4 linked regions of the Drosophila melanogaster genome follow. The protein of the gene in region 3 interacts with the protein of the main gene of each other region in a pairwise test. Each region holds a gene or a part of one and is shown on either strand. Other genes may lie near its edges. The genes, in order: CG5359, epsilonTry, Spt and CG17211.

The links.
Region 1: the proteins of Spt (region 3) and CG5359 interact in a two-hybrid assay, tested with the Drosophila melanogaster proteins (one large-scale study listed by BioGRID).
Region 2: the proteins of Spt (region 3) and epsilonTry interact in a two-hybrid assay, tested with the Drosophila melanogaster proteins (one large-scale study listed by BioGRID).
Region 4: the proteins of Spt (region 3) and CG17211 interact in a two-hybrid assay, tested with the Drosophila melanogaster proteins (one large-scale study listed by BioGRID).

Annotation. Positions count from the first base shown.
Region 1 is NT_033777.3:9,997,485-10,004,963, forward strand, and holds CG5359 (uncharacterized protein), read right to left. Parts: upstream 3,793-7,479; 5' UTR 3,718-3,792; coding exon 3,456-3,717; intron 3,398-3,455; coding exon 3,138-3,397; 3' UTR 3,089-3,137; exon of another isoform or gene 3,022-3,088; intron 2,885-3,021; 3' UTR 2,831-2,884; coding exon of another isoform or gene 2,694-2,830; 3' UTR 2,542-2,693; coding exon of another isoform or gene 2,414-2,541; 3' UTR 2,360-2,413; coding exon of another isoform or gene 2,352-2,359; 3' UTR 2,287-2,351; downstream 1-2,286. Other genes in the region: Spn85F (serpin 85F), read left to right, coding at 55-474, 1,048-2,277, 2,352-2,359, 2,414-2,541, 2,694-2,830; Mical (molecule interacting with CasL), read right to left, coding at 4,951-4,956, 5,014-5,210, 5,269-5,369, 5,426-5,503, 5,563-5,767, 5,890-6,166, 6,926-6,958, 7,172-7,479.
Region 2 is NT_033778.4:11,342,989-11,350,174, forward strand, and holds epsilonTry (epsilonTrypsin), read right to left. Parts: upstream 3,079-7,186; 5' UTR 3,060-3,078; coding exon 2,289-3,059; 3' UTR 2,249-2,288; downstream 1-2,248. Other genes in the region: alphaTry (alphaTrypsin), read right to left, coding at 1,334-2,104; betaTry (betaTrypsin), read left to right, coding at 3,354-4,115; gammaTry (gammaTrypsin), read right to left, coding at 6,106-6,867.
Region 3 is NT_033778.4:8,917,206-8,925,891, forward strand, and holds Spt (spitting image), read right to left. Parts: upstream 5,551-8,686; 5' UTR 5,445-5,550; coding exon 5,364-5,444; intron 5,302-5,363; coding exon 5,134-5,301; intron 5,075-5,133; coding exon 4,748-5,074; intron 4,692-4,747; coding exon 4,367-4,691; intron 4,303-4,366; coding exon 3,580-4,302; intron 3,517-3,579; coding exon 3,415-3,516; intron 3,352-3,414; coding exon 3,302-3,351; 3' UTR 3,065-3,301; downstream 1-3,064. Other genes in the region: lin (lines), read left to right, coding at 1-472; CG34219 (uncharacterized protein), read right to left, coding at 1,131-1,327, 1,387-1,609; CG8248 (uncharacterized protein), read right to left, coding at 2,145-2,261, 2,319-2,885; CG8243 (uncharacterized protein), read left to right, coding at 5,793-5,910, 6,063-7,498; CG8237 (uncharacterized protein), read left to right, coding at 8,557-8,686.
Region 4 is NT_033779.5:12,110,730-12,119,288, forward strand, and holds the start of CG17211 (uncharacterized protein), read left to right. Parts: upstream 1-3,630; 5' UTR 3,631-3,921; intron 3,922-8,559. Other genes in the region: Phae2 (phaedra 2), read left to right, coding at 419-1,216.

The sequences.
Region 1 (7,479 bases), on a different chromosome or scaffold from region 3:
TCAGAGTGCTAAGTGAGCTATCAATCAGTTCGGACCGAGGTCAGCTGCATTGTCATGGCTGGATTGGTGCTACTGTTCACCTGGCTGTTGGTCCACCTACTCCAGGTGGATGCCCACTATATACAAATTGACCATGAAGAATTTCGTGCCAGCGGCTTTCCGCATCCGCACTTTCCGCCGCCTCCGCTAACGCCGCTGGATCATCTACCTCAGGTGCTGGCCGCCAAGGAGCTGACTCCCGCCGAGGTGATGGTGGACCTGACCAACGACCTGACCCACCGCCTGCTCCACTACCATTCCATCCTGAACCGCAACAACTTCGCCTTCTCGCCCACTGCCTTGGTCAGTGTGCTGGTGGCTCTGTTCGAGGGTTCGGCCGGGAATACCGCCGAGGAACTGCGCCATGTCCTGCAGCTGCCCAACAACAGGGATGTGACCCGCGTGGGCTACCGCGACATCCATCGACGACTGCGGGTGAGATTGGATTCCACCAAGTAGGCCATTGTGGCAGCTGCTTTGAACTTAACCCATTGCCATGGGGGGTAATCCGCTCGAGAACGCCATCCAAATTAAGTGGCCACGCACATTTACACGCCTGGCTAAGCACCAGTCCGAAAGTGAGGTGGTTAGAATGGGGAGCACCAAGTGGTCATTGATAAAGAACAAAATGAAAAACCAGATATGCGTACTGACAAACAAATTGCCCCAGGCCCATGACCAAAGCTCAATCGATCTCCAATCTGGTTTCAATAGTTCGTCGACCCCATTGGATCGGTTAATCTCCCAAAAAACTAACCAGCATTTGTTCAAGTGAATAGATTTTTTAATTGTCCATCGTTGCGTACCTATTGCTGATCAGAATTTGGGTAATGAAATTGATCAGTAGGCTCGTTGGAGGGCTAACTTAATTTTAGAAATTTTTTTAATTAGCAGAGTCTAAATAACATATATATTTTACAACTTGGGACTCTATAAAGGACATACTCAGCATATATGCTAAATAATGATTGATAATCTAATGTTATAGATTTTTATTCTATTTTCCAGACTTACTTTTTTGGCTCCGACAATCCACTGAAAGGACTCAGCTTGAACAAGGGCAATGTCACTGTTCTCAAGGACTTTGAGACGGTTCTTATGTTTTACGGATATGACTTAAGTGTAGATATGCTCTCCTCCACACCAGCCAATCTCACATCAGATGCCGAGTTGGTCAACACCACAATGGCCAGCAATACGACGACCATGGAAATGGATGCGGAAACCACAACGTCAAAGGATGCGGAGAGCACAACAGAAGAGCCGGCCACAACAACCACAGAGCCGCCGGCGACGACAACGGCAGAGCCACCAACCACCACCACAGAGACTCCAGCGGAAACGGAGGCCACCACAGAAGCACCTGCTGCAACATCGGGTGAAGAGGAGGCCGCTGAGCCCGCTGGTGAGGATGAAGCAGCCGAGTTAGTGTCCGCTTTTGTAGCCGAGGAGGACTCCGAGCCTCTCTTGCGCATCCAGAAGGCTCGAGTCTCCAGATTGCCCACCAGCAAACTACAGGCGCCGCTAAAGCATTCGAATCCAATCACTCCCAAGCCCATTTACCTGCCCAGTGCGCGAACAGTGGCCATGCCAATGCCAATGATGGCTCGCCAGGTGGCGGAGCGAAAGCCACCAGGAACACGGCAAGTAATTTCTATTATAGCGCCATCCGTGCAACCAGCAAACATATCGGTGACTCGCAAGACGAAGACAGCACGATACAAGCGTCATGCGATACCAGCATACAAGGATCTGGATGCAAATCTCTTTCTGACCCTCTTCAATCCGCACACGCATGTCCCGCACCACCCGCTGCACTTTCCGCCGCCAGTGCCCGCTGCCTTTGCACCCATCACGAATGATTTTGAGCCACACTATATCGGAGAGGCGGCCGAGGGAAAGTCCAACTATAACACGGATGTGATCAGCCACGTATTCTACTTGGGCAATCAACAGGTGGTGCACACCACCTTCAAGGTATATAACGCAGTGCTGTACTACAAGTACTTTGAGCACCTGAAGATGAGCGTGCTGGAGTTGGAATTGGACACACCGGAGTACAACCTAATGATCCTGTTGCCCGACTACCACACGGATATTGTTGCAGCCGCCGCCTCCTTGAAACTGGGACCAACCCTTCGACTGATGCGGAAGCAGTTGAAGCCACGCTGGGTGCAAGCCATCATTCCAGATTTCAAGCTGCACGGCACCATGTTTTTGACAAACGACTTGCAGAATGTATGTATTCATTTGTAGAGTGCATTTTTGTGTTTTTATTGAGGTGTCTTTGGTTTTTGTGCTCTCTGTTGCAGATGGGAATGTAAGCATGGGTGTAATAGCTCCAGTTCCTGGCTTCATTTTACTTTCGTTGCAGCTGCGACGTATTCGAACCAAATCGCGCCGATTTCAGGCCCATGACTGAGGAGAAGGGCGTCTACGTGCGACACATTGAGCAATCCATAGACGTCACCATCCGTACGCATCCCATCAATCAGCTGAAGCGTAAGTGTCTCGCATTGCAGCACACCTGAATGGAATGGAGTGGAGGCATTGAGCCGCAACGCATTGCGAATGCCCAACCTAATGGTGTTGCAACAGTTGCAGCCTCTGCAACACGAGACAAAGTGCAATAAACACTTCCTTTTACTCTCTAGGCAACTACGGCGCCCAATCGAAGCCCATTCAGATCTCTGTGAATCATCCGTTTCTGTTTTTCATCGTCGATCGCGACTTGGACGTGGCTGTGATGTCGGGCCGCATACTGAATCCGCTGAACGTACGCATCCAATGAAGCACGACGAAGGTCGACTATCGAAAGTGATGAACCCTTTGTTCCCGGTGCCTACTAATACGAGATGTTAGCATTGCTTAGATTAAAATGTAAATATACGGGGGTGTCACGAGACTCTGGGCAGATGAAATTTGAATGGAAGTAAAGAAACTTCATACTTAAAATTATCATTAAATTAAACAACATTTGTTGAATATTTTATCTATATAATATTTTTAGAAAACACATCTCGTGACAACCCATTTAATGTAAGCTCACCCCATTAAAGTATAATCCTTAGTCTAACTAGTTCTGTGGGAAATCGGTTTTAGTACTGATACGTTCCAAACACTGTACAGACGCAAAAGAGACTGGTGTTGCTGAAGACCTCGGAGACGGAAGTGTCGCAGTCGCAATCCCAGCAGCAGCGCGAGTTGTAAGTGGCCCCCGCACCCAGCTCCTGGCCTAGCATCACCTGGACCACGTGCTTGTACCGCTTCACCAGGGAGCTGCTGGCTATCTGCTGGTTCACCTCGTCGGCGATCTCACTGGTCCACTTCTTGGCGACGTCCTTGTCATAGGTTTTGTCTTCAAATAGTGAAGTTGCTAGGCAACGCGCAGTATATTTATGGATTTTCACACTAACCTTTGAGTTTCTCGGCCATAACGTTGTTCATTATGCTCTTGATGGTGGGCAGGGGAAACATCTCCCCAAAGGCCGGTCGCATGCTATAGGCGGTGGGCTGGTCGCCGGGCTTTTCCGACTTTTCTTGATTTTCCAAACCATCGGCTGAGCCGGAGTGCAGACTTCCTGACGCCGACTTTTCCGACTTCCTATCCGCTGGGTTGGGCACTGTTAAAGTCTGGACGGATTTGGTTGTTTCCTCAGTGGACTGTTTGTCAGCCATCTTTTGTCAAATTCAGCGTAATTCCCTTTCAAAGTGTTTAAGAAAGCACCAAGAAAATCTTGGTTGCTATGTTTGTTTACTTATTGCTAGTGTTACCAGATGGTAAAATGGCTTTCCCGCCAATCCCTAATTGTCAGTCACCACGAATAACCGAACTTATTTGGTGTGGCCACTTTATAACAACGAAGTGTGGCACCTCTTTCATTTTCTGGATAATTTAAATTTATAATACGCGCCAATATTTTATGTGCGTCAAGTTAGCGTCGATGGCGGAATTTCCCCATTAAAGAACATTTCTTTAAGGACATTTAAGGAAAACTTCACGATAAAGTAGAACTATAAAATCGTCCTTAGGTTTCATAAAATCTTTATTCAATTCAAAATAAATCGAAAAGTTACATAATAAATTCGATAAATATGTTTTTATATATGCAGGTTATAAATAAAGTTACGCAATAATTTAAATGATTTCGTTAGTATACAGTTAATGGTTGCTTTCTCGCTTACATCGCTATGTGTAGGCTCTCGCATTTAGAAAATATTTGTGTGCATCTCTTTGTGTTCACTTTGATTTCGATTGGGGGCAAATGACATAATACATACATGGGTGTGCTGATCGGGAGGATGTGCGGAAGGTGCTTTGTCAAATAAATAATAATACACTCAAACGGTTTACATAGAAATCGACAAACAATCGCTAAGTGAAAATAACCTAAGAAAACTCAAATACACCATTTACATTTGCTCAAAATCACATACCCTTTGCACACGCTCACTACATTACATTAAATAAAAACACAACATATTGCATAGGACATACAAAAATCAGACAGATTTCAGTGGCAACGACTAACAAAACGTACAATTAGGTCGAATACGAAACTAAAGGTATTCGCAAAAACATTCGTAATCCCTACTTTTAAATTGCGAAATTAGTTTTTTGGTTTTGATTTCATCTCTGCCTGTTTTTACATTAACCTTGCGCGCTTCTCCCATATTAGTTAGGCTCTCTACTTATATAAATATTGAAATTGTTCTTAGCCAGCTTATCCACTTTGAATAGTTAGTTGCTCGTTTCGGTTACAGCTCACGGGTTTTAGTATTGTTAATTCTGTATATTCAGCTGCCTTTTTGGTACGCTCTCCCCTGTTCCCTTGTTTCATCTTAAGTATTTAGGCTCAACAGTCCATGCACCACTTCGCAGACCAGCAATCTCCAGGGAAAGTTGGCTATTCAAATCTGAAACAAGTGGTGTTGTCAATTTCAAATTTAAACATATAGGTCCTATTTACTCACGATCGATTCTTCGTGGTCATGCGGTTGTCCCGTCAGCTTAATGCCCGTTGCCTCGGCGGACGTGGATGCTGATCCCGCTGCCGTGAGGTCGAGCTGGGAGGCTGTGGGTCGTAGGGCGGCTCGCTTGGCGACAATTTCCAGCATCTCGTTGAGAATTGCTCCCTCGGCGGCCACATCGGCAGAGCTTTTGTCCAGTTCTGCAATGATGGAATTAAATATTATATCAAAGTTTTGAGAGGAAACTATAACACTCACTGTTGCAGGACAAGCGCAGATTGAGCTCTTCCTTCAGCTGGGCATGCCGATACTCCAGTTGCAGTTCCTGTTGCCTTATAGTCAGTTCCTCATCGCGTTTCCTAAAAACAAAATTACATTAGATTTGTTTATTATAGAGCTTCATTGATTAGCATACTTGAGTGCTGTGATGTTGCGCCAAATCTCCAAAAGTTCCTTAAGTAGCTTCTCGTCGTTGTCCTTTGTCGCATCCAGGCTGTAGAAGAGATTTCATTTAATGGGTATTCAAGGATATAGCCAGATCCTAGCACTCACTTTTCAATATTCTGCGCCTCGCCTCGCAAGGCCTTCTCAATAAGCACGCCGCGTGCCTCCAGATCCTTCAGTTGCACCTCGATCTCCTCCTGTTCCCGCTGAATCTCTTGAGCGATTCGCAATCGCTTGAGCTCAGCTTGTCGTGAAGCCTTCGATATGGCACGTTGCTTCTTATGCTCTCGTGTCTCGTTAGCGTAGCTCTCATCTGGGAAATAGGAAAGGGGATCAAATCAGGCCGTAACGTTTCCGCTTGTATGAATATTCAGTGGGTCGGGACAGGAAAAATGGGTGGACGGTATATGCAGACATAGAATGAGAAGAACAAACCATCGGATCTCTGATAATTCAGTGGAAGAGGCGGTATGGGTGGTGGTGTCTGGTCGTCCAGGGCACTGGGATGAGCTGCGGCCAGGTGGTGGGGCTTGTGTATATAGAGCTGCGGACTGGATGAAGAGAACGATTCGGGTTTCGGTTTCGCAGTGTTCGTTTGCTTTCGATAGCGACTGTTGTTCGTGGTGTTCAGATACTCTTGCGAGTGATTTTTCTGTGATGCGGATGTGGCTCCTGCTGGAGATGCTGCATTGCAGACCAGCATATCCTTGTCCTAGTATAGCATGGCGTTAGGAGGTATCAGAATATATATCGGTTTAAATGATTGAGTGTTTTTCAGAGGAGGAAAAAAAGAGGTCGAGAAAAACGTATGGAAAAATAAACAATATTCAAAATCTTATTAGAAACAGCTTGTTATTTACTAAAATATAGTACATGTAACGTGCAAAATGTCCAAAGGCAAAAAACTTAACACATAACTTTTATTGATTACCATAACCGGGAATCCAGGGAAACCAATCATGCAAAATATCCATTATGCTTAAATCATAAATAACACTTCTTAAACTAATTCCCATTAAACAAAAAGCTGCCAAGTACTTAAGCCATAAACACTTAAAGTTTAAAACACACAACTGAATATCCTTATGTCCGTAAGGTTTCCCTGAAACCCATGCGCTCCTAATAGATATTAAACTAAGAAAACATATATGTTATTTTTGAGGCAAAAGAAATAATTCAGCAGTCAATCTTAAATGTTAAGACTTAGATTACTTTTGCTGCAAAGGGTAAAAGAAAACAAAAAATAAAGTAAATGAAAAGAAATCATAAGAAAATTGTGGCAACTTTATTGTGTTAATAGGACAGCAAACAGACAAAAAGCCCACTCAGATGAAGAAATGTGCGATTAGATAAAAAATAAACCAAATGTAACGGATGCCAAATAATAAGACTAAGCTGTTGAGAGTGTAAGAAATTTGGAAAACTCGAAAGTGTGTGGTAAATAGAGTTTAGAATAGTTAAAAGTCCTTACACCAAAACCGAAATTCCTCAGATCAAAGCAAGACTGCAAAATGATTAAAAGAATTTCATATGTTATAAATGGCACACTTATTACACCAGACATCGAGTCCTCGGCAGTTAATATAACTTATATGCTAGATGAGGTCGTGTGAATCGATAGCTTGGACTAGCCAATCTCCATGAGGCAGACAACACTTGGTTACACCAACACCGACTAAAACCACATTACAATTATATATTTGGTACAATCACTGACCTTTGACTTCTCCTTGGACTTGGGCGAGATGCGGAATCTGCTGAAGACGCCACCTCCTCCTCCGCCTCCACCCGCCGCATCCGATATTGTGGGCGTGCCGCTGCTGCTGGTGCCTGGTCGCTCTGACTGTTCAGAGTGGACGGCAGCCACAGCGCCGCCCTGCTCCTTGGAACTGGAGGCCGCGGATCCAGATCCCTTTTGGAAGAAGCTGGACAACGACTGTATGAGACTCTTACGCCGCTCCGGATCCTTTGGCCTGCGTCCGGACTTAGTTTTGCCTGCCTTCTCCTGACCACCGGACGCCAAAT
Region 2 (7,186 bases), 2.4 Mb from region 3:
CTAAACTCGGAAGTCGGCACTTCAACGGGTGTTATTAGATATAGATAGCTTGCCCTCAAGCTAGAATGACCTTGTCATTCTAGGTGATTAGAGGAGCTTTTCACAAGACACACCTTTATAGTATTCCCCGTTTAAAAAATAAGCGATGACCCAAATAAAACATTTATGGCTTTTCTATAACGATTATTATTCAAGAACTATGTGCAAAAATAAATTTTGTGTAAAAAAGATATTTACTAGGATATATTTGATTTCATACCAAATGTTCCGACATATTTTCTCACTTGACTTTGGGGTTCGTGGATATGTGAGTCTTAGGCAAGACACTCCTTCACCCAATTGAGGTTTACTGAAAATTTCACATGCAAAGATATAACTTTTACCACATTTACGAAATGGCAAAGGTGATTTCTACGACACGTAATTCCCAAAAAGTAGGTTAAGTCATAGAAGAGACAATTTTAATGGCCCATTAAAAGCACAAATTAGCACAAACGTCACCAATGCTACGTCGAGTTGGAAATACCCGTTAAAATAAGGGGTGGCTATATGAACGACCCTCTGCCAATCAAAATTTCTACTTAAAAATGGCAAATTTCAACTTTATTATGGAATTGATAATGGAACTTTTTATAAACAGCATTATCGGTTAAAAAATATGGCAAATTGTTTATTCTTTGCAATTGTTGTTGCGTTTAATTCACAAATATAAGAAAAAGAACAGAAGACAATCCATTCCTACCATCTATTCACACCGTCCAGTATTTCACCAGTCACGGTTCACCAAAACGTTCAACTTCGAGTGTCCAAATCTGTGCAATCTTATCTATTCATTTTTTTCCGGCTAATTAATCTTGCCACAGCTGTCCAGACCATCACTCAACTTATCAATGGAAGATGAATTGGAACCCTAGCCACGCGATGCACTCGAAGTTGATTAGATTGGTCCTGGACAAATGTTTACCTTTAGCCACTCGAGCCCATTGAAATCGGTGAAAATCACAGAAGGTGCGTTGAATTATCTTACTTTATGTGAATACCCGTGAACCCTACAAAAGATAAGACCTGTGACGCGGGCAACCTCGAGAACTGTTTCCCTATTGTTAATACGAAAGGTGTAATAAGTGGTATGTGTAATACATTCAACTTCCACTACTTTATTCTTTAGGCTTAACCACTAACTTAAACTACATAGAAGTAAATACAAAAGCTTTCTGTATATTTTGTAAACCCTCTTATGTTAAAGTACCCAGACCAAATACAAATCATCTATGTTCTGAATGGCAAATATTTATTGAAGGCTTTTGACACATCCAACCTACTGGGTACCAGCTTAGATGCTGTTAGCAGTGCTCACCACCCAAGAGCGGAGGACAGCAACATCGGCATAGACACCGGGGTAGTTGGAGTAAGCGCATCCGTATCCCCAGGAGACAACACCGACGAGGACTCCGCCGGAGACCAGTGGGCCACCGGAGTCACCCTGGCAGGCATCCTTGCCGCTGGCAGCAGCGCAGATCATGGTGTTGCGGATCTGGCTACCGTATCCGTAGGTGGAGGAAGCACACTGGCTCTGGCTAACGATGTTCACGTTCACGTACTGCAGCTGGGAGGGGATGGAGCTGGATCCGGACGACTGGGTACCCCAACCGGAAACGGCGGCAGAGGCTCCGTTAGCTGGGTTGTAAGTGGCCAGGCTAATAGCCTTGATGCTTGAGCTGAAGCTCAGGGAAGAGCTCAGACGGATGACAGCGATGTCGTTGACCATGGTGTTAGCGTTGTATCCCTCGTGGTTCTTGAAAGAGGAAACCTTGGCGACGACGCCACCAGAGCTCCAGTAGGTGGATCCAGCACGGACCTGCAGGACTGAAGCGGACACGGACTGCAGACAGTGAGCGGCGGTCACAATGATGTTGGCAGAGTAGATGGATCCACCGCAGGAGTGGCTGCCACTGCGCTGCAGGGAGATCTGCCAGGGGAAGCTGCTGATGGTGGTAGCAGAGCCGCCGACAATGCGGCCATCCAACTGAGGCAGGAGTCCCTCAGGGACGGTGCCTCCCAGGGCGCAGACCACGGCGGACAAGAGGATCACGATCTTCAACATGATGGGCGTTGCTAACAAGTGCTGGCTTACATGCCGCCCGTCCAACCTTATATACAGCCCACGCTACAATTCTTATCTAGCCGCAATTTCGAGGGCTTTACACCTGCGACGCAATTGGGCCCAAATAGAGAAACAGATATCAATGCTGATTCAATTGCGATTTATTTCAAGTGTTTGTCTGGCTTTACACCTCCTCGGCGGTCCTCTCGATCCACTCGTGGAAGTGGGCAACGTCGGCGTAGACACCGGGATACCTCACATCACCGCATCCATAGCCCCAGGACACAACACCGACAAGGCGGTCTCCGGAGACAAGTGGGCCACCGGAGTCACCCTGGCAGGCATCCTTGTGTGGGGCGTAGGCGCAGAGCATGGTGTCCTTGATCTTCTTTCCGTATCCGAACTCATCCGAGCGGCAACGCGACACATCGATGATCTCCAGATCAACGGCCAGCAGATGATCGGGAATGGTGCTGCCACCGGACTCGGTGGTGCCCCAGCCGGAAACCACGGCGGTGGCGCCCTCACGAGGGTTGGAGTCGGCAATACGGATCTCGCGAATGCTGGAGCGGAAGCTCAGATCGGACTCGATGCGAATAATAGCAATGTCGTTGACCATGGTGCGGGAGTTGTAGCCCTCGTGGTTGCGGAAGGAGCGAACGGAGTGGACACTGCCGCCGGAGCGCCAGTAGGTGCTGCCCACACGAATCTTCAGGTCCTTGGCCTCAATCGACTGCAGGCAGTGAGCGGCGGTGATCACAATGTCGTGGGAGTAGATGGATCCACCGCAGAAGTGTGATCCATAGCGCTGCAAGGACACCTGGTAGGGATGGGCGTCGATGCTGGTCTCATAACCACCGACGATACGACCATCCAACTGGGGCAGCAGGCCATCGGGAATGGTGCCAGCCAAGGCGCAGGCCAAAACGGAAAGAAGTACCGCGAATTTCAACATTTTAATCGTTTGTATGCTGATTCGCGGATCAAAACCCCTTTTATACAGTCCCCGCGGCAAATATCTCCACTTGATTGACAGCTGCAACTTCAGCATAATTGTTGCGTCATTTTCACCATCGATATAGGCGGTGATATTTAGAAATAATCAGCTTATCACACGACGACCACTCCACATCGTTATCCACTTTAACCACGAGGAATCTCACTTGTCCATTGATTAAACGCCTCCCGAGATAGTGACCCCCGATATAAGCACACTTTTCGGTTCGAAGAGTATCCATTCAATCGCACCATGCTGAAGTTCCTGATCCTGTTGTCGGCTGTAGCCTGCGCCCTGGGAGGCACCATCCCCGAGGGTCTCCTGCCCCAGTTGGATGGCCGCATTGTCGGCGGTACTGCTACCACCATCAGCAGCTTCCCCTGGCAGATCTCCCTGCAGCGCAGTGGCAGCCACTCCTGCGGTGGATCCATCTACTCCGCCAGGGTGATCGTGACCGCCGCTCACTGCCTGCAGTCCGTGTCCGCCTCCTCCCTGCAGATCCGCGCCGGATCCAGCTACTGGAGCTCTGGTGGCGTCGTCGCCAAGGTTTCCTCTTTCAAGAACCACGAGGGTTACAACGCCAACACCATGGTCAACGACATCGCTGTGCTCCATCTGAGCTCCTCTCTGAGCTTCAGCTCCACCATCAAGGCCATCGGTCTGGCTAGCTCCAACCCCGCCAACGGTGCTGCTGCCTCCGTCTCCGGATGGGGTACCGAGTCCTCTGGCTCCAGCTCCATTCCCTCCCAGCTGCGTTATGTCAACGTGAACATCGTCAGCCAGAGCCGGTGCTCTTCTTCCTCCTATGGCTACGGAAACCAGATCAAGAGCTCCATGATCTGCGCTTTTGCCAGCGGCAAGGACTCGTGCCAGGGTGACTCCGGTGGCCCACTGGTCTCCGGCGGAGTCCTCGTCGGTGTTGTCTCCTGGGGATACGGATGTGCTGCCGCTAACTACCCCGGTGTCTATGCCGATGTTGCTGCCCTCCGCTCCTGGGTGATCAACAACGCCTAATTATTTTTCGAAATAAATCATATATGAACAGTTTATGACGGTCGTCAGTTTATTTTAAAAGATGGTCTTAGTTAAAAATCAGGACACAGGGTTCACATTTTTAGATGGTAATGACTGTTCGAGTGCAATGACTATTAGATATAGTGAGTTGTGCAAGCAGTAAAGGGACTGCTTTTAGGACTATGGAAATTGATTGATTGGATTTAACTATCCCCATATTCTGTTAGAATGCCCTAAGGATTATTAGCGTGATTGGAATTGTAAACAACTAGGCATTATTAAGAAGCAAACTTGCGCAATGTAGTCGTAAATAAAACATGCATTTTTAACTACAACTTTAAAGCTCTATTAGTTTTCCAAGACTGTACGTTAGGCGGATAGGGAAATCTAGATCATGATCAAGAAGAATATGAATTTTATAGGCTCGATACGCATCATTCTACATAAGACTTACTTTATAACGATATATTCGTAACCATTTTATTTTTATACTCTTTACTCGTAGAGTAAAAGTGTATAATAGATTCGTTTAAATGTATCTAACAGCTACAAGTTAGTGTTTCCAATCATATAATGTACATATATTCTTGATCAGGATCGATAGCCCCATCCGTCTGTCGAGTTTCTTAGCAACTATAAAAGCTAGAAGCTTGAGATTAGGCATACAGATTCTAGAGACATAGACCCATATTTCCCCTTTCCCCTCCTCCCCTCCCTCCCCTCCCACAATTTTGAAAAATATTTTGATTTTTTTTCACATTTTTATTGTTTTGTAAATTTGTATCGATTCGCCAAAAATATTTTTGCCACGCCCACTCTAACGCCCACAAACCAATCAAAACTTTTTTTTCATTCATTCATTCATTCATTTCATTCATTAATTTCATTCATTCATTTCATTCATTAATTTCATTCATTCATTTCATTCATTAATTTCATTCATTTCATTCATTTCATTCATTTCATTCATTTCATTCATTTCATTCATTTCATTCATTTCATTCATTTCATTCATTTCATTCATTTCATTCATTTCATTCATTTCATTCATTTCATTCATTTCATTCATTTCATTCATTTCATTCATTTCATTCATTTCATTCATTTCATTCATTTCATTCATTTCATTCATTTCATTCATTTCATTCATTTCATTCATTTCATTCATTTCATTCATTTCATTCATTTCATTCATTTCATTCATTTCATTCATTTCATTCATTTCATTCATTTCATTCATTTCATTCATTTCATTCATTTCATTCATTTCATTCATTTCATTCATTTCATTCATTTCATTCATTTCATTCATTTCATTCATTTCATTCATTTCATTCATTTCATTCATTTCATTCATTTCATTCATTTCATTCATTTCATTCATTTCATTCATTTCATTCATTTCATTCATTTCATTCATTTCATTCATTTCATTCATTTCATTCATTTCATTCATTTCATTCATTTCATTCATTTCATTCATTTCATTCATTTCATTCATTTCATTCATTTCATTCATTTCATTCATTCATTTATATCATTCATTCATTTCATTCATATCATTCATTCATTTCATTCATTCATTTTCACTGTGGAGTTTCTATCGATATGCCAGAAGAAAGATGCTAGTTCGTTCACCCTGACACTAGCTGAGTAACGAGAGTATCTGATAGTCGGGGAACTCGAATATAGCATTCTCTTTTGTTAAAGAGTAAGTTCGGTTAACATAAGTTAAACTATGTAGTAATTGATCGAAAACGGGTACCTCAACAAATTACCTTTAATTTATTAAAATGATTTAAACCATTATTAACCTCCCGACAGAAATCTAGGTGTTTGTTATTTTTCAGGAGGTGAGAATACATTTTTTAGAAGGTTTCCTTTCCCATTTGCTGAATAAGACACATTACTGTTGAATCAGTAATAGGTCAAAACCACAATGAAACATAATAAAAGTAATATCCAAACTGAAATTTATTTCGCATACTTCTTAGGCATTGCTAATAACCCAGGAGCGGAGGGCAGCAACATCGGCATAGACACCGGGGTAGTTGGAGTAAGCGCATCCGTATCCCCAGGAGACAACACCGACGAGGACTCCGCCGGAGACCAGTGGGCCACCGGAGTCACCCTGGCAGGCATCCTTGCCGCTGGCAGCAGCGCAGATCATGGTGCTGCGGATCTGGCTACCGTATCCGTAGGTGGAGGAAGCACACTGGCTCTGGCTAACGATGTTCACGTTCACGTACTGCAGCTGGGAGGGGATGGAGCTGGATCCGTAGGAGAGAGTGCCCCATCCGGAGACGGAGGCCGCAGCGCCGTTGGCGGGGTTGGAGCTAGCCAGACCGATGGCCTTGATGGTGGAGCTGAAGGTCAGGGCGCCGTTGATCTTGATGATGGCAATGTCGTTGACCATGGTGTTGGCGTTGTAGCCCTCGTGGTTCTTGAAGGAGGACACAGAGAAGGTGACACCGCCGGAGCTCCAGTAGCTGGATCCAGCACGGATCTGCAGGACGGAAGCGGACACGGACTGCAGACAGTGAGCGGCGGTCACGATGACGTTGCTGGAGTAGATGGATCCACCGCAGGAGTGGCTTCCACTGCGCTGCAGGGAGATCTGCCAGGGGAAGCTGCTGATGGTGGTAGCAGAGCCGCCGACAATGCGGCCATCCAACTGAGGCAGGAGTCCCTCAGGGACGGTGCCTCCCAGGGCGCAGGCTACTGCAGACAACAAGATCACGAACTTCAGCATGGTGCGAATCCAATGAGTTGACTCTAAACTGGACACCCCTTTTATACAGGGACCTATCTCTTTGTGGCGCTCTTATCATAAATTTCAATTATTTTTATCACTTGCTTGTCAGGGAAATCCAAAATATTTTTTAAATGTGTGACCGACAAATAGATTTCGCGAATAAGAAGTATATACGTATACAAAGTCCAGATTCATGCCAAACGATTTTTTTTTGCAATAAGTTGGTCATTTAAATAGCTTGAAAAAGATAGTCACATAAAGATATCGGGGTTTAAACGAAATTAAAACAATTTATATTTCTATAAACAATTTATTG
Region 3 (8,686 bases):
GTGCCACTTCAGCAAGATCCTGATCCACCTGTTCGACGACCAGGACGACCACTTGATCGAGGCCATGGTCTGCACGCTGGACGTCACGTCTGGGATATCGTTCCGCAACAACGCCTTCCCCGAGCTGGTGGCCATGCTGAATCCGGTGTACACATTCCTGGAGTTCCTCAAGATGACATCGAACAGCTCGGACCTGCTGCTGGACCTGCTGGTGAGCAACGAGACCTGCTTCCTGCTCTACCTGCTGCGCCTGCTCAAGTACATCCGCATGAACTGGACGATGTTCGTGCACAGCTGTCACACCTTCGGCATGGGCAGCGCCATGCTAGACGAGGCGATGGGCGTTCTTATCCGGCTGCGCCTGCAGATATCCCGCCTCGTGTCGCGCCAGCTCTACCCCTACGACATTTCCCCCGTGCTGCGCCTGCTCGAGAGCTGCGAGAGCCTGTACGAGGGCAACGAGCTGAGCTGAATGCGGCGCAGGGACGAACTTCAACCACATGCAATTAAAATACGTAATTTATTTTAATATTTAATGGAATAGGAGAAACTAGCGCAAAATTCGATGAAGATGGAGGCCTTGTAGAATACGTGTATTAGCCGTAGGGACCAACCACTCCGACCATAACTCCGCACCCCGATCCAGTAGCGCGTCAACCGTAGTTAAGATCTTGCACCCTCTTCATCCGCTTCGCCCAGCAGGTCTTTCAACCCAGATACATACCCAGCTGTATGTAATTGTCATTGTAATTGTAATGAGCATCACAAGTTCGTAGTTAGTTCGTAGATAATGGTTATATCATAGGTACTGAATTCCAAACTAAACACTACGCTAGCCTAAGATTTTTTTAATCTTGCCCTAAGTAGAATAATGTACAATAGGATGGCAAAATGCTGCGGCAAACGGCTGCCCGCCGAAGTGGGCGTAAATTCGGTGTCTTCGAGAAGAATATTCTTTGTACGTTTTTTTAAAACACTTGAATAATATAACATAATTAACTGATTAAAAGAAACGCATTAAGAAGGACTACAACGTGTGCGGTTTCTGTTTCCGAATGGTGTGTTAAAATACTGTAGTCTCTTTGCAATTTCGTTGGGCTGTGTCCTGATCTCATCTGGACTTCTGGACTTCAATGGCGATTTATCATGCGGACGCGCCGCTTTGGATCAGCGGCTCCACTTGGCATACCACTGACTTCTGGTGGTGGCCCAGTGAGGCTTATCACCGAGCCGCGCCTGGCCATTTCCGGAGGATGTGGACTCGATACGTGCACCGTTTGATAGTTAATGCTGATCGGAACCGAGGAGCGACGGTTAAGACGAGGCTCTAGAGAAGAAAGTAGTTGGTCTTATGGGACGTGTCACTTTGTTGTGGGGACTCTTTACCGAAACGGGCTTCTCCGGATCCCGGCTTATGCGGATGCTGCTGACTGGGTCGGCTGGCCAAAGGAGATACCACCCTGTAGTGATACTCCTGAACCAGCGGAACGGACCTGGTGAAGCCTCCCTCATCGTTTAGCGTGTACTTGAAGCGATCCACAGATACGGAACGCTCCTCGCTGATTATATGCTTGCGCCGGAAGATGGGGGACTCATCCACTTTTGGCATGCATTGGGGAAATGTAGAGCGGTCAGTTTGGGATTCGGGGTGAGAGAGGATCGCAGAGGATTGCGTAAAAGCCCAATCGAACGGAGGAAATGAAACGCAAGCTAACACGGCTACGTATGTAAATTGATCACAGGAAAGCACATAGTAATTGATTTATTTTAGGATTACGTACACTTAGGACAGTAATATACATTCGAGTATGTACAACCTTATATTCGGATTCAGTACAGTTTCACAGATAGGTGAAGAGGAGGTAAACAGTGGAGGTCGTTCAAAAACACAGATATCAAACGCATAATCGAGCCCGAAAAGTGCGATGTACAGATGTATAGATGTATAGAGATTGAGGACAGACGAGAGATACACAATACACAACAATACATTTTCCGAAAAAGTCAGAAAACTGGTGCTTTAGAGTAGAGAAGATTGGCTAGTTCAGTACATAGTGGTAGATACATTTAGATTTATAGGATAACAATTCACTTGATCCCTCGTTAACACGGTGTAATAGGCTAGGCACCTGGCCCCCAGCGAGCTAAAACTTTGGCAAAGATTTTGGTGAAATACCTTTTGATGACCGGCGATCCTGCTTGTGGATCTGGGCATAAGATTGCAGCGAGCACCGGCGCAGTCGCTTGTCCCCTTTGTTCTGCTGCCGAAGAAGGATTATTCACGTGGCAATAGGGAATGGAATGCGGGTTATCCTTACCGACTTGTAGTGCTGGTTGATGTCCGAGGCGGCCTTCAGAAGCAGATAGACAAACACAAGGGCGAACAGGTAAATAATGGGCTCCGCTGTGTTACTCTTCTTGCCAACTTCCTTCTTCTTGTGCCCCTCCGGGGACTTTATCAAACGACGAGGTTGCTTGCTGACCCCATTTCCAGTGCCGTTTTTGGTTCTCTTCGTGGGCCTGCCTTGGGATCTTCTTGAAACTGCCTGATTCCGATTGGATTCCTTTCCGAAAACGTCCAACCTCTGGCACGATGCATCTGGAGCGGCGACATCCAATTCGGCGTCGGCCATGGCTTCCGGCTGGGCATGGTGCAGGTCGAAGGCAGCCACGCCCGGCTTAAAATAGTGCCTGTAGTTGCGCTGCATCCCGGCTACCATGAGATACACAGTGCAGAGCACCACGAGGATCCCCAGCGGCACCACATGATGGTTATTTGTATCCGTGTCCCTACTCACGGCACTTGCTTTTCGGTGTTTGGGAGAACAAGGCGGTGGCCCAATCTCTTCGGACAGAGCAAATTTATCGCCGGCCAGAGATTTCATAGCCGAGTGCTTACTGTTTACCAAGCAATTACCGTGTGTATCTGTTGACTGCGAGTCCTGGCTGCCGCTCGTGGTGGAAAATCGATAGGGATTGCCCACACAGCTTCACATGTTGGGTTGAACGAGGGTGTCCAGTGCAATTGAAAGGTCAATCGACCGAGGGAGATGCGCTGACAAGTGTGCTATGTGTCTATATATTTATTGGAACCTATTGCTCTACTTTTACAACAGTCTAAACTGTTTCCGATGCGATACTCTTCGCCACCCGAGGAACATACATGTTTGTGTGTATGCCTGACCTGACCTATGACATTCAGGTGGCGACGTACGTTAAGTTTGAATTGCAAAATCTCTTAAATGGTATGAACTTAAACACTAAACTAAATAAAAAGTTATGTACAAATGGTTGAAATGCTTCAGCATTCAAAGTATCCATTGGACATTCCAGTGAGTTGGTCGAGTATATCTAAAAATATACGAAATTTAATGGAAAAACTTATAAAATAGGAAATGTAATCATTTTAGGTACCTGTGATTTGTAGATCCGTAGACTGATTACTCATGGAGGTGTATAGCTTTCTGCTTTCAGCTATATTCTGCCGCTTGAACATGACAGTCCGTAAACTTTCTCCTGAAAATAGCATTCAAAACATTGGTAACCTTACCAAATTTATCTAAACATCAGCCGACTTACTTCTCAGAACATTTCCATGGGGTTTTGCCTTATCCGATTTAATGTCCAAGGTATTTGTGGGTAGCTTGTTGTCCGTTCGTCTAGTTACTCTATTCCTACGCTCTGTGTCGTAGAGGATACTGCCGCTTCGGGCTGTTTTATAGCCAGTGAAATGGGTTTCGTCTTCATTTACCCCCTTGGTATCATCAGCTAAAAGGGGAGCCAGGGGAATAGGAAGTTCCTCCTCTTGTTTACCAGCTCCCAGGGAGCCGTGCAATTTGCGCAAGATCGTGCGCAAGATCTTGAAGCGCTTGAGGATTCTCTGCGGCTCCACCTGGGATGCGCACATCAAAATAGCCTTGCACTCGCGCAGTACCCGGATGAACTGCTGGTAGTACTCTTCCCCCAATCGGTCCTGCGTTTCGCTTAGACCCTTTCGGTTGACTTCCAGCTGAAAGTGCTCGACTAGCAGCAAAGAGATTTGAACCAAGTCCTCCAATCGCTGCTTATCGAAAAGCTTTTCCGTTGCACTTATCCCTGAGGTCAGTATCTCCAGGCAACAACCAACGAGGGCGCGGCTGTCGATGATCTCCTGAAGCGCTGCCTTGAACTTGGCCACCTCCTCGTTAAAGTGCTGCTCTAGGATGTCCGAGTGCAAATCGGAACCATGGGCCTGCAGTGAAGGTATCAGAGTGGTGTCCAGTGATTCAAAGGAGGCCAGACAGCTGCGCATTATGGTTTTCACTGAAAAGGAATTGGTACTGGAGTTAATTGCGTTTTTTTTTATAATTATATATAATTATTATACTTTTCAAGTTGGGCGCAAAGGAAATGGCAAAAATGCCTATCTGGGTGGCGCGATCTATGTTCACATCAAAGTCCGCTATGAACTCATCGGCCAGATCATCATTATCTGGGCTGTTCCTTAACAGCGCTCTAATTTTGTCTACCGAAAACTTCTCGAAGTCCAGGAAGCATGTGAATACCAAGCGCAAAAGCGCATCGTTGATAAAGTCCTCCAATTGGTAAATTGCCTGTTCCATGGTCATGGCCCGCAGCTTAAGGGTGGACAGGTAGTTGGCACTGAATGACTCCTTGCACTCCTCCTGAAAGGCATTGCACTCCCGGATGACCTAGAGCACAAATGAGGGGAATAAATAAGGGGATACTGCAGAAGATGTACACCCACCTTTTGGCACAAGGCACTGAGAGCCCTCTTGTCCTGAGACAAAGCCACATTGGCGAATCCCAGAGATTGACCCAAGATCAAATCAATGTTGGCGCGCAACTTCTGGCTGAGTGGAAGGACTTCCTTGGGAGTCTTTGGACAGTTGGAGGTATCGGTGTTTTCCTCACTGTGCGAGGTGAACTGCGCCAAACAATCCAATGCGCCATCCACCAGCTTAAGGAACGAGCGCTCCGGAGCTACTGCTTCGGAACTCGATTCTTCGCTGTAAAGATGCATGAGGCGCTTCAGGCACCAGCGAATGCGGTCCAGGAAGTACTGATGACTTACCTGCTTTCAGAGGATTAGACATCATTGTGCAATGCATGGATGAGATCCAAATTACTCACCGAGACTGTGGTGCCGCATTCTAGTTTCATGGTGTTCTCCACTTGGCGAATGCAGATCATAATCTGGCTGAGGCAGAGGCACACCAGCTCCGAGCACTCCGACTGCCCCTGGGAGCAGAAGGAGCTGTGGGCCAAAGTAGCGAATTCCAATAGCACGGCGCACAGGTCCTGAAATTCAAAGCAACAAGTGATTGATGTCCTGGGGCTAGTGGTCCGTTTCCCCCACTTACATTCAGCCAGTTTGCAGCTGCTGCATTGTTCCTGTTCAGTATCAGCAGGCAGGCCTCTAGTTTCGTTCGCAAAATTTCCATTTTTGCCGGCAAATGTGAGTTCAAATGTTCTGTGGGCAGAAGTAAAAGTAAACAACTTTTTTAAAAAGTGGCTTCGGTTCCCTGTGAATGGCAAGATGGCACGGCTTGGCGTTAGTGACAACCAGGGAGGCTAGCTGCCTTCACCGCCACACGGTCCCACTGGACGCATCACTTTTTCGGTAGCAAAAACTTGTAGAAAATTGTCAATTCAATTCGCTGGTAGTTGTATATCCATGTGAAGCAGAGATAAGCTCCGCCAACTCTACCCGTCGCCCACGCCACGTCGCACAGTTGCGCCCCGCCACAAATATCGAAACCAGGCCTCACAGACCGCAAGCATACCCCAAAATGAGCTCCTCGAATGCGGGACAGCGCACGAAGCTAATTCAGGAGAAGTGCCAGACCCTCCTGACGCAGATGCTCCGCGACGAGGACAACAAGTACTGCGTGGACTGCGATGCCAAGGGTATGTTAATGGGGTCCACTTCTCCGCCAAGAGATACGCCTCTTGGTGACGCACATCTGTGTGCGTGCGTGCGTGGATATACACACCACACATGCAGCTGCACTGCGATATGAGCCTATGTGCTGTCACTGAATGCTACCTTTTATCCTTAGGTCCGCGCTGGGCCTCCTGGAACCTGGGCATGTTTCTCTGCATCCGCTGCGCCGGCATCCATCGCAATCTGGGCGTGCACATATCGCGCGTCAAGTCCGTCAACCTGGACACTTGGACGCCAGAGCAGGTGATCTCGCTGCAGCAGATGGGAAACTCGCGGGCTCGCGCCGTCTACGAGGCGCAGCTGCCGGACGGCTTCCGTCGCCCGCAGACGGACACAGCGCTGGAGAATTTCATCCGGGCCAAGTACGAGCACAAGAAGTACCTGGCCCGCGAGTGGGTGCCTCCCTCGCCGCCGAAAGTGGACTGGGCCAAGGAGATCGACGAGGAGCTTGAGCGCCAGAAGCGCAAGAAGAAGAGCACGCAGGCCCAGGCCACTTTGGGCCTGGCTGGAGTGGCCGGTGGCAGCGGCGACAAGCGCCTGTCCGGGTCATCTGCGTCGGCGCTCAAGAACACCCCCCTGCCCGCGCCGCTTCCAAAGCCGAAACCCAACCAGGTCGGCGGCTGCAGCCCAAAGACGACGCAACGCGTCCAGCTGAACAGCAGCGGCGTTAGCAGTGCCGGCGAAAGCGACCTCTTGGGACTGTCCTCGCCCACCAAGCCCATTGTCGCGACCAATGCCAGCCAAGACCTGCAAAACGAAAGTTTCACCAGCTTTCTCAGCGCCGAATCGATTGCCGGCCAGCCGGATAAGCCGATTGGCAGCAACGGCGACGCCGCCAATTTGATGGGCTCGAAGCCGAACTCGCTGGCACAAGAGGAGCAGGACTTCTTCAACCAGGGCTCACTGGGCGCCGGCGGCAACGAGAAGGATCAGTCTGGCAAGATGTCCAAGGACAGCATTCTGGCGCTGTACGGCAGCGCGCCAGCCACCCACAACCCCCAGATGAACTTTGGCGGCTTCACGGGCATGGCCCCAGGCGGCTATATGCACCAGCAGCAGCAACAGCAGATCCCCCACCAGTTTATGACACCGCCGAACTCGGTGAGCATGTATAATTCGCCAGTTATGGCTGCACCGAATGCGTTCAGCAATGCTGCCATCAGCAGTGCCACTGCGATGAGCATGGGCGGCTCCCATGGCTTTACTGGAGCCCAGTTTCCCAGCACCGGGGGCAGTCCCTATGCTGCCGCAGGCCAGGCAGCTGCAACAAATCTTATGCAAACGAACCAGAGCATTCTCAGTGGGATGCCGCTCTTTGGAGCTGTTCCGCAACAGCAGCAGCAACATCAGCAGCAGCTTCAGCAGCAACATCACCCACAGCTTGGCGGCCTCTCCATGAACTTAATGCAGCCCCTGCCCAGTGGGCTGAACATTGGCCAACCGCCACAAGGAGCGGGCGGATTTGCCGCAACGGGGCCCACCACCTCCTCAGTACCGTCAAATCTGAACCAGCAGTTTGGGAATCTTAATATCGGTAATGTGTGGCAATAAATACGCGGTGTATTTATGTAGTTGTATTCCTTTAATTAATTGTAAGACACGAGTGTTCGGTTCGTCTCGGTGTTGCAACATGTGTGTGTGAGACGGCGATGCTTGTTTATATACATTCGATTTATACAACAACTTGCCAATTTAGTTAGTTGTCCTATTCGTGTTCGTAGAAGAATTCATTGTCGAGCAAGCCACTGTATTAAACGATGTTCATGTCCATGTCCATCTCCATGTCCACCAGGAATCGCGTCTGCTCGTCTAAATCTATTCCAATTAAATCATAAAAGGTACATACATACGCGTGTAACACCCAACTACTTAAAATTGAAAATTGAACCACAGAACGTAATGCACTTTCCAATCAAATGTACATGTTATTTTTCAACATTAGCTAGGTATTTGATACGCATGCATTCAAAATCGTCCACGCCAGGGTACGAATGTAAGGTGTAGACTTCTGGCGCAGTACTTTTTAAATGCTTGATATCCTTAAGAACTTATTCACGCCTGTTTGTCAATGTGAATCTAAAATATCATGGCGGGTTGTCAACGGATTTATTGTATTCGATTCTTAAGTTGCTATGTCTAAGGAAGAAATCAAACCACTTCGAACTGTGTAATAATAAAATATTCAGACAATTGTATGTGCTTCGTTGTGTCGCTGATTTCAAAGTAAGTAAATACGGGTAATGTATGACCTCGTGCTTTTAATTTATATATTAAAGAACTACAAAATGCATTACATTTAGTTCATTAGATAAACAGCTTCTTGTTCGGTTGCCCAACTACTTTTTATTCAACATTATAGTTGTATGTACAAAAAGTTAGAATAATATATTTTCGAATTTTACGTACTATCAAATATTTCGCATCAAAAGTTAAAGTGAGTCTTCTTAAATTTTCCCGCCCTGCTTGAAATTCACAGGGAATCGTATTTAGCAGTATTTGTCATTCGCAGCGATACGCCGACACACCCTACCGATTGCAATACACGTCAACTTGTATAAATAAATAAAAGCCAGCCAAATAACAAAATCGATCATTGTGAGACTGAGAAAATGGGTGAACAAGGCGAGGAGACGGGTCAGAAGCTTACGGAGCGCTCCACCAAGGAAGCCTACTTCGAAAGCCTCGCCGAGTGGGCCAAACAGGCGACGCTGGCCCAGAATGCGATGCTCATGTTTCCCT
Region 4 (8,559 bases), on a different chromosome or scaffold from region 3:
TTAAGTAAATAATGTTGAGACTATGGTTTCAAAATCTAAACATTTCTTACCAGAACTAACCTTTTTAACAATGGTCTTATAGATATTATATTTATAATATTTTCCTTATCAATGGACGGGGATCCCCTCGAAAATACAGAATGACAAACTTGAGATATTGCCCTCAACACCCTTTTGCATCTATTCTCATTGTTGACTGAGTCTATCATAACAAGAGAGAAATATATATATATAAAATCGTATAATCTTAAGTTATAATAGGCTCTTATCTGAAAGACAAGGGCTCTGATTGAAAGTTCTTATCATATTCTCGGTTGGCTCGCATGAAATTTTTTATCACGAATTAATTTAAAAAGCCGTCGATAGTGCCAATGTAAACAGTTCTGTGAAAACCATGATTGCGAATGGACAACAAACCATGTGGCGCCATCGCCACCTGGCCACTATCCTCCTGCTGGCGGTGTGCGTTTCCCAAGGATCTGGATTAGCCTTGGACCAACCCGAAGGACGCGTTGTGGGTGGAAAAGCGGCGGCGGCCAATAGTGCTCCGTATATAGTGTCCATGCAGTACGGAGGAACTCACTATTGCGCCGCTAACATCATTAATTCCAACTGGCTGGTAACGGCTGCTCACTGCCTGGCCAATAGGAATCAAGTACTTGGAAGCACCCTGGTGGCTGGAAGCATTGCGGTGGCCGGAACAGCGAGCACAACACAGAAGAGGCAAATCACCCACTATGTGATCAATGATCTTTATACCGGCGGAACTGTGCCCTATGACATCGGATTGATTTACACGCCCACCGCCTTCACTTGGACCGCTGCAGTGGCTCCGGTGAAGCTGCCATCGTCCGGCGTGAGGCCAACTGGAAAGGCTGACCTCTTTGGCTGGGGCAGTACTAGCAAAACGAATAGCCCCTCATATCCGAAAACCCTCCAGGAGGCGAAGAACATACCCATCATAAGCCTCGACTCCTGCGCTGCGGCACTTGGCTCTAAGGGTCAGGATGTGCACACCACGAACCTGTGCACAGGTCCTCTCACCGGCGGCACCAGCTTTTGCACCTCGGACTCCGGTGGTCCGCTGGTCCAGGGAAACGTTCTAATCGGCATCGTGTCTTGGGGAAAACTTCCATGTGGTCAGCCCAACTCTCCGTCGGTGTATGTCCAGGTCTCCTCGTTCATAACATGGATAGCAGCCAACCAAAAGAAATGAATTCTGGAGTATAAGATAGTATCTGAATAAAGAAATACTTATGAGATTGCAGTATCACGTGCTTATTATAAATGACAACTTTTAGAGTCTTTAAAATCATGCATTAATTGATTGTAATGTATCTTTGAAAGAACTTAAAAGCATTTATATACATTTTGTTATATGTCGAATTATCTTATCTAATAAATAAATAGAGCTAGTTTAAGAAGATGGTAACCAATGTATATATATATTTTATAACAAAGTAAATCAGATAAGACTATAAATGTTTTAGATATCCAACTTATATGTGAACCCAATTTTAACTAGATAAAGCTTTCCAAGAAGTAGCAAAAATAAAGATATAAAAATAAGCTTTATCTTTTCTTTTGTTATAAAAAACTGAATATAAACCAAAAAAGGGTAATGTCAACAAGATGTTATCTTTACCAAGAAATATCCGGATTAACTTTCCATTTTTCTATTGCACAACTATTCTGAGCACTATACTCCCCAGGGAACTTAGCACTTGGAATGAGTTTTGCTTTTGAATCCGTCTCACTTTTGGTGTCAGCACGTCCAGATTTCATTTCATCCCAGACACTCCTCTTCAATCGCTGTTTTTATCAATCATATTGATCGGAATGTTCTTATTGGGAAACTAATTGCTCGGTAAGTTGCTGGACACGATCGCAATCAGTTTATTGACACGACCAGTACATAATTGAATGGACATATCAATTTCCCATCACAATCACACCAGCAAAGCTTATTAAGTGCCTCCAAAAGAGCTTCGCAAGCAAGGCGGCCAAGAGCGCGGAACGTGGCCCAAAGAACGATGGCCAGAACACGCCCGCAGCTAATCAGGCTCTAATGGCGATAAATATTTCATTCTATATTATTCTGTTTCCATTCCCCCAACCAAACACGCCTCCAAGTCCCAGTCAAGCTGCCTGGCCAAGGAGTCAAGACAAAGCGACGACTCAACGGGAATGGACAGGGGAGTCCACCAGAACAGACCCACCGACGGACCCCCGCCTCCATCAGACGGACAAAATCTCCGACGCGATCGATGAAGACAAGGCTGATAAAGGAGTCACCATGCGGGAACCAGAGATGCCGCAGTGAGTCCACCCGAATTTCGAAAAAGTGGAAGTTGCATTTCTTATAGAGAGTAATCAATTGCGATCATTTGCAGCATATTATGAAGAACAAGTTTTAAAACTCAAAAAATTTGTTTAGTATAAGTTTAAAAAGAGTTTTTAGTTTATAAAAGTGAATACAAACTTATGTTGCATTCACGATGTCATCTCCGTTCTGAACAAAAGAAATTCATCTGAGCAAAGTTGAGGCAAGGCCAGATCACTGTGCTTCCTTCGCAATCTTTGTGTTATGAATCGAACAGATTTATGCAACCTGGCGAACAACATGGGCGGCTGCTCCTCCGTCGCCAGTCTCCAGATCCCTGCTCCCTCAATCGTTTGCTGCGTTCCTCCGCCGACGAGGATGAGGATGAGGATGCGACCGCGACATTTGGCTGCGCCATTATGAGTAATGGAGTAATGCCTGGAATTATTTACTTGGGGGCTTTATTGGCGTCGGCATTTGGCATCGGAATGAATGTCTGTGCTTTATGGTCTTTTGTGTATATACACACGCAAGTATATATTATTATATTTTTTCATGTCGGGATTCTGCGGTCGGAAAGACTGCGAATGGTTTTATAATTGGTAAAGGGAAGAACGGATTATTGAAATGAGTTAGATATGATTGGGCCATAAATAAGAGGTATAGATTGCATTGTTGATTCAAATAAAGTGACTAATGTGTTTGAAAAAATAGTAAATAGTGTAAAATATACAAAATATGTGTGAACAAATAAATTCTTGTCTTAACAAATAATATTCATATTTGCATTATGCTAGGTATAATTTTGTGTACATGAAGTTGAAAGTAAAGCCCCGCAAAAGTTACACCATTATTTTAATCACATGTCACGGACAATTATGTGTGGTGTCAATGAAGGCAGCTTGTCACTTTCTAGTTCATTCAACTCTTTAAATAAACTATTGAAGGTTTTTATTTTTCAAAAAAATAGCCCGTCCGAACTTTTATCTTTGCAATCGTTCCGCGAACTTTGGCCAATCTTATGGACAAAATCTAAAGCGAAATCTAATTTTTAATTGGCCAACAAACTGCGGACAAGCGACATTTCATGCTTATCGGCAGTACAACCAGCAATTAATCTCCCTTCGGTGGAATGGAGAAGACTCTCTTAGCAGATGCTCTCTTTCTCTCGAGAGAATATATCTCTTTCGCTGCAGCTTTCGAACGAGAATCTTTGGCGCGCTCGAACAGAAAAAGAATTCAGTATGCAGACAACTTTCTTCCGAATGCTTTTCTTAAAAGCAACTCGAACTTGTTGCTGAGCCTCAGTTTGAAAACAGCACGCGACGCGTTCAGAACGAGAAAACCATACGCGCAAGGTGGATATAAAAATAATAATAAAAAAAAAACACAATAAATGACTCTTCTTCGAAGACTCAAAGACTAGAAGACACTTCTTGTGGTCAACGATGATCGAACCCTTGAGTGGCAGTGGTGAAGTGCAAGCATAAGCAAACAAACAAATCAATAATAAACTAAGCTGTGGAGTTATATTCAATGCTTTTTTGTTTTTGTGCCCCACAGTTAGAGTGGATATAGGAAAACCTCAGACTGGACAGGTATGTGAACTTGCGGAAAACTCCAGGAATGCATCATTGGGAATTCTTGGTTCGTTCTTGGGGTCGTTGTTGCGGTTCTTTGTGGCCTCGCCGCCAGCTCTTTCCACACTTTGGGCATGCTAAAATTTAATAAGTGTTTTCCTCAAACCGTTTTTCCTGTCGCCTCTTTTTCACGCTTTTTTTTTCTACGTAGCTGTTCTTGTTGTTCAATTCTGTGATGCATTACCGTAGGGGGGGGGGGTGTGGTATATGCAGTTGGCACGTCCCTCTTTGCCGCCACCAACTTGGCAAATTCTTGCGGCACATTTCATTTATCTGTTTCGCTCCCGCTGCCAAAAGCATTTTCCGCGTCGTGTCGTGTTAACGGTATTGTTTACATGGTTAATAGAACCCACCGACTTGGTGGCCAGATAAATAAATACTAGTAGACACACACAAAAACCTACAGCCGGAGCCAAAAGACCATGCTTCAGTGCACTCGTTCTTGCGGCCGCAGAGACAAAAGCAAAATCACACACAATCGAAAGACTCAGGCAACGAACTGACTCCACAGGCAACGATTCCTGTGTGTTGATCTAGGTGTAATGAGTGCGGTAAAACAACATATACATTTTAATTCGTTTCTTGGAAGACTCTAATAATATTATCAAAGATTTCTGCACTTCTTTGCGTATTTATCAAAGCGTAAAGAGAACATGAAAATTCATATTTTATTCAATACAAACGAAAGACTGAGGCAACGAACTTTCTGGTAATAAAAAGTAAATGGTGTATTTATTTAATTGAATTAGAAATGAAATTCCCAACTGTATAATGTTAATCAAGTTATTCCGATTCCCAGCAAATCTATGCTAATTAAATAATGCTTACCAGCTTGCGCAGACCAATTAAAGAAATAGTCGATGACAGTAAAAGAAGCAGCCACCAAATTGCTTATTTATTAGCCAAAAGAAAAGAAAATATCTGGAAACGGCATGCTAATGATGTAAACTAAGCATTTAACTGTTAAGATGCCAGCAGCGGCAGGCAAACATAAAAAGTCGCATCACTGGGGCACACTGTGAGAAAAGCGGGGAGGTTCAATTGGGGCAAGACGAACCCAAGGTAACGCCGACAAAAAAAAAACTTAGGCGACTTCCTAAGACAAATCAAAGCCGTTACAATGGTCGCACAGCCGCAAAAAACGCACTCGGAATTGGAAAACCGGGGAAACCAGAAGGGAGAAGACCGAGAGTGTGGAGATCAAGGGAGAGAATGTAGGTTGCACTGGCTTTAATTACACTGCACAAAAAAGGAGGGTCAACAAATAAAAGATAAATATAACTTAGAAAAAAATCACCGTCGTACAAGTTTTGGGCAAAGTTTGTCCATCCTAAAATGGGAATATAAAATAAGATATTATTATTATTTATTAAATGTAATACTTAGTAAAATAAATCTATCTTTCGGCTTAATACAAATAAATCTTTCAAAATACATTACGTAAGAAAAAATGTGGATTTCTAAGATCTACCTTGTCATTATTATATACTCGTCTTTGTTTCCTGTGTATAAATGTTCAGAGTAATCTTTTGCTACTCAGATACTGACTGTGATGTTGTTCTTACTTTTTTGTTTAAGAAATTACCGTTTTATGTTGACAAAAAGAAGCAAGAAGAAGCAGCTGCGCTAGAAGAAGGAGAACTGGCTTAAGGTTGAGCTGGGAGTTTGAGTTTGTGTTTGGCTTCTGTGTGATTACAGTACCGCTCCTAATGATCATCATTAGATAGCCAAGGGTTTTTTTCTCTTCCATCCAGCTGCTGCGCCGATTCTACTGCTTCTTCTTGCCACTTCTTGGAGCTTGACGTGACGACATGCAATCGCAAAGAAGGTAGAAAGAAGAAGCTATAAGAAGCGGTAGAACAACACCAATAATATTTGATAATGCAAAGCGGAAGCTATAAAACTCGTGTGTAAGACGACATTTTACGTTAGACGGCCATTAAGGCGAGCCAAAAGAGAATTTGCTAATTGCCTGCAATTGAAAATGTTAGTGAAAGAACTCAGGGAGCTAAAGGAAATCTACGAGCTTGGGTACGAAGACGGGAAGAAAGCTTCATTAGGCTATATAATAATGTCTTTAACTGGAAGTCGAAATACACGACAATTATATGGTGCATAAATGACCTATATTCTATGTAAGTCTCAACTTTGAGAAACTGAAGAAAATTTTAAAAATGTTTGTCAAAAATCGTAGAATAATAAATTCATTTTATTCACTTACGCAATTAGTTGTAAAAAATAATAATCTTACCAGAAATTTGTAGAGCCTAGTCGAGTTAATGAGCTTACAAAGCCACTTGATATCTTTAAGGTATCAAAAGAACTTCCTGACTGCCCTTTGGTCATCTCGATAATCTGACCAAAGTGTGGTGTGCCACAAATTCGATTATCAGGGCCGGGAGCTGAGCTTCGACCGCCATCTCAAGGTCGAAAAAAAAAGTATCTTGTATCTGGTATCTGGTATCTAAACTCTCCTTTCAAGTGGAGCGCTGTAGTCCAGCCCACAGTTAGCGCGGCCACATTAGCAACATCTGATATGCCGAATAGCACTGGGCACTTAAGGAGAGGCCCCATTACCCGGCCAAGAACAACAAAAGCTGGCCCGCACGTAATCTGATATTGCAACGGTGAGGCAAGCAGCTGAAAAAGAGTGCACGTATAAAGAAGGCAGCGAAAAAGCAAAAACCAAACCAAACTTAGCCTGGCCATATGAGGAGAATCTCTTTCTTTTGTGTCGCCACTATCCGAATAACATCAGCGAAATACACGGAAAATAAGCAGACTTATGGAAATTAGATATACCTACCCCTATAAAAGGGTGTTGCTGGTCCATATATGAGGTTTATATTATGCAAAATATGGGCTTCGTAATTAATCTATTAGATTGTTGTTTATGTAACCAAACATTTTAGTACCTAGCTTATATATAAATGTATTTTATTTGGACACTTAGGTGTCATTTTTCCCATAGATATTAATACAATTTAATGGGGAGATATAAATTTCCTTTTTATGACCTTTGTTCTATGCTTCAATAAAACGTAAACCCATGTGCTTCCTTGACTTCTGTCGGCACATTTTTTGTAACGCATTGTCAGATTAATTGCCACAGGAGGAGGAATTTTAAAAGCCATCTATTCCCTGCTAATTAACTTCGGACTCCTCACGGCGACGTGCTGCAAGAACAGAGTCGAAGATAAAACATTTTATGGCTCTCTTAGGTGCTTTCCCCACCTGCAGCACGCCCCATTCCAACGCCAGTTGAAGTACAAAATACAAAAACCAAACCCTGGGCCACTCTAAGCCAAAGTCGGGCCTTGGGTTATTTATCAGAGCTGTCAGCGGGCCATAAATTCCGACTTTTGTCACTACCATTTATGGCCTAAAGAGTTAACCAATAAAAAAAAAAAACACAATTGGCTGGCGCAATGCGTTATATAAGCACTATGTCTGCATCTGATCTAACGGTGCTTGGCTCTGGGTTCTTTTGGGGTTCTTTTGGATTCTTTTGGAGTCTCTGGATTTTCTTGGGCTGCCCGGTTTCCTTGTTTACAAGACACCTTGACAAATGTGCCCGGAAAGAGGAAAACATTCGAGACGGAAAAACAACACGAGTCAGAAATTTGCATGGCAACTGAAATGGAAATGGGTGGAGTGAGAAGCAGCCAGGAAAAAGAAAAAAAAACAACAGCGATCACAACTCCATTGCAGTTTTATGGTGCATTGTCTTGCAGCGCTAGAAAGCTGAATAAAAAAAAAAGAAAGGAATCGCCAATTGTAACAAAAGTCAGAACAAGTTTGCCACAAACTCTGGCCGGTCGTTGGCTTTGGCCCACAGAGATGCGCGTGTGATGGAATTATGATCATGTTTCGCGGCACTTATGGAGTTTTCTAAACCACACAATATATGCACTTGCCATGACTTCAAAAACTGGGACACATCTTAAAGATGTGGTCTATACGAATTTAAAGCACGAAGCTTGGTATTTCTTTCAAATTTCGATTTTACTAATTGGTATATATATTTCAAAGATATGAAACCACTTATAACTCCGCAAATAAGTGCCATCTCTAGCAATTGAATTTAGAATTCGCCCAAGGAGTCGCATCTTTAAATTGTGGGAAAAGTAATGCAAGGCAATGGAGCACGTTCCATCTGCTGCATGATTTATGCATTACAAAAATATGAACTCTATATTAATCGCGGCCTGTCATGTTGACAATTTTATTACGCCGTTCTGGCCGCATCACGAATCCGATTATTTAACCTCGAATGGAACCTTTTGTACCTAAAAAACTAGTATAGTAAAGAACCAAAGCAGGGCGACATCAATTTGCCAATAGGTACTTGGGGGTATTAAGAACTTTCGGTTGATTGCTTGGCGCAGTTTCGTTTGTGGATTCGCTGATGGTTTTGGCTTTTGTGAAAGGTGCCATAGCTGGACGACACAAAAAAACCTTTCCCAGTTCTGCAGGTTTTCCGCTCTTATCCATTTGCCACAATCGTGCAGTTTGTTCTAGTTTCATTACAGTGAAGGAGAAGCTAGCTAGTCCGACTCCACTTCACTTGACTTTCACCCGATCCACGTTTAGTTA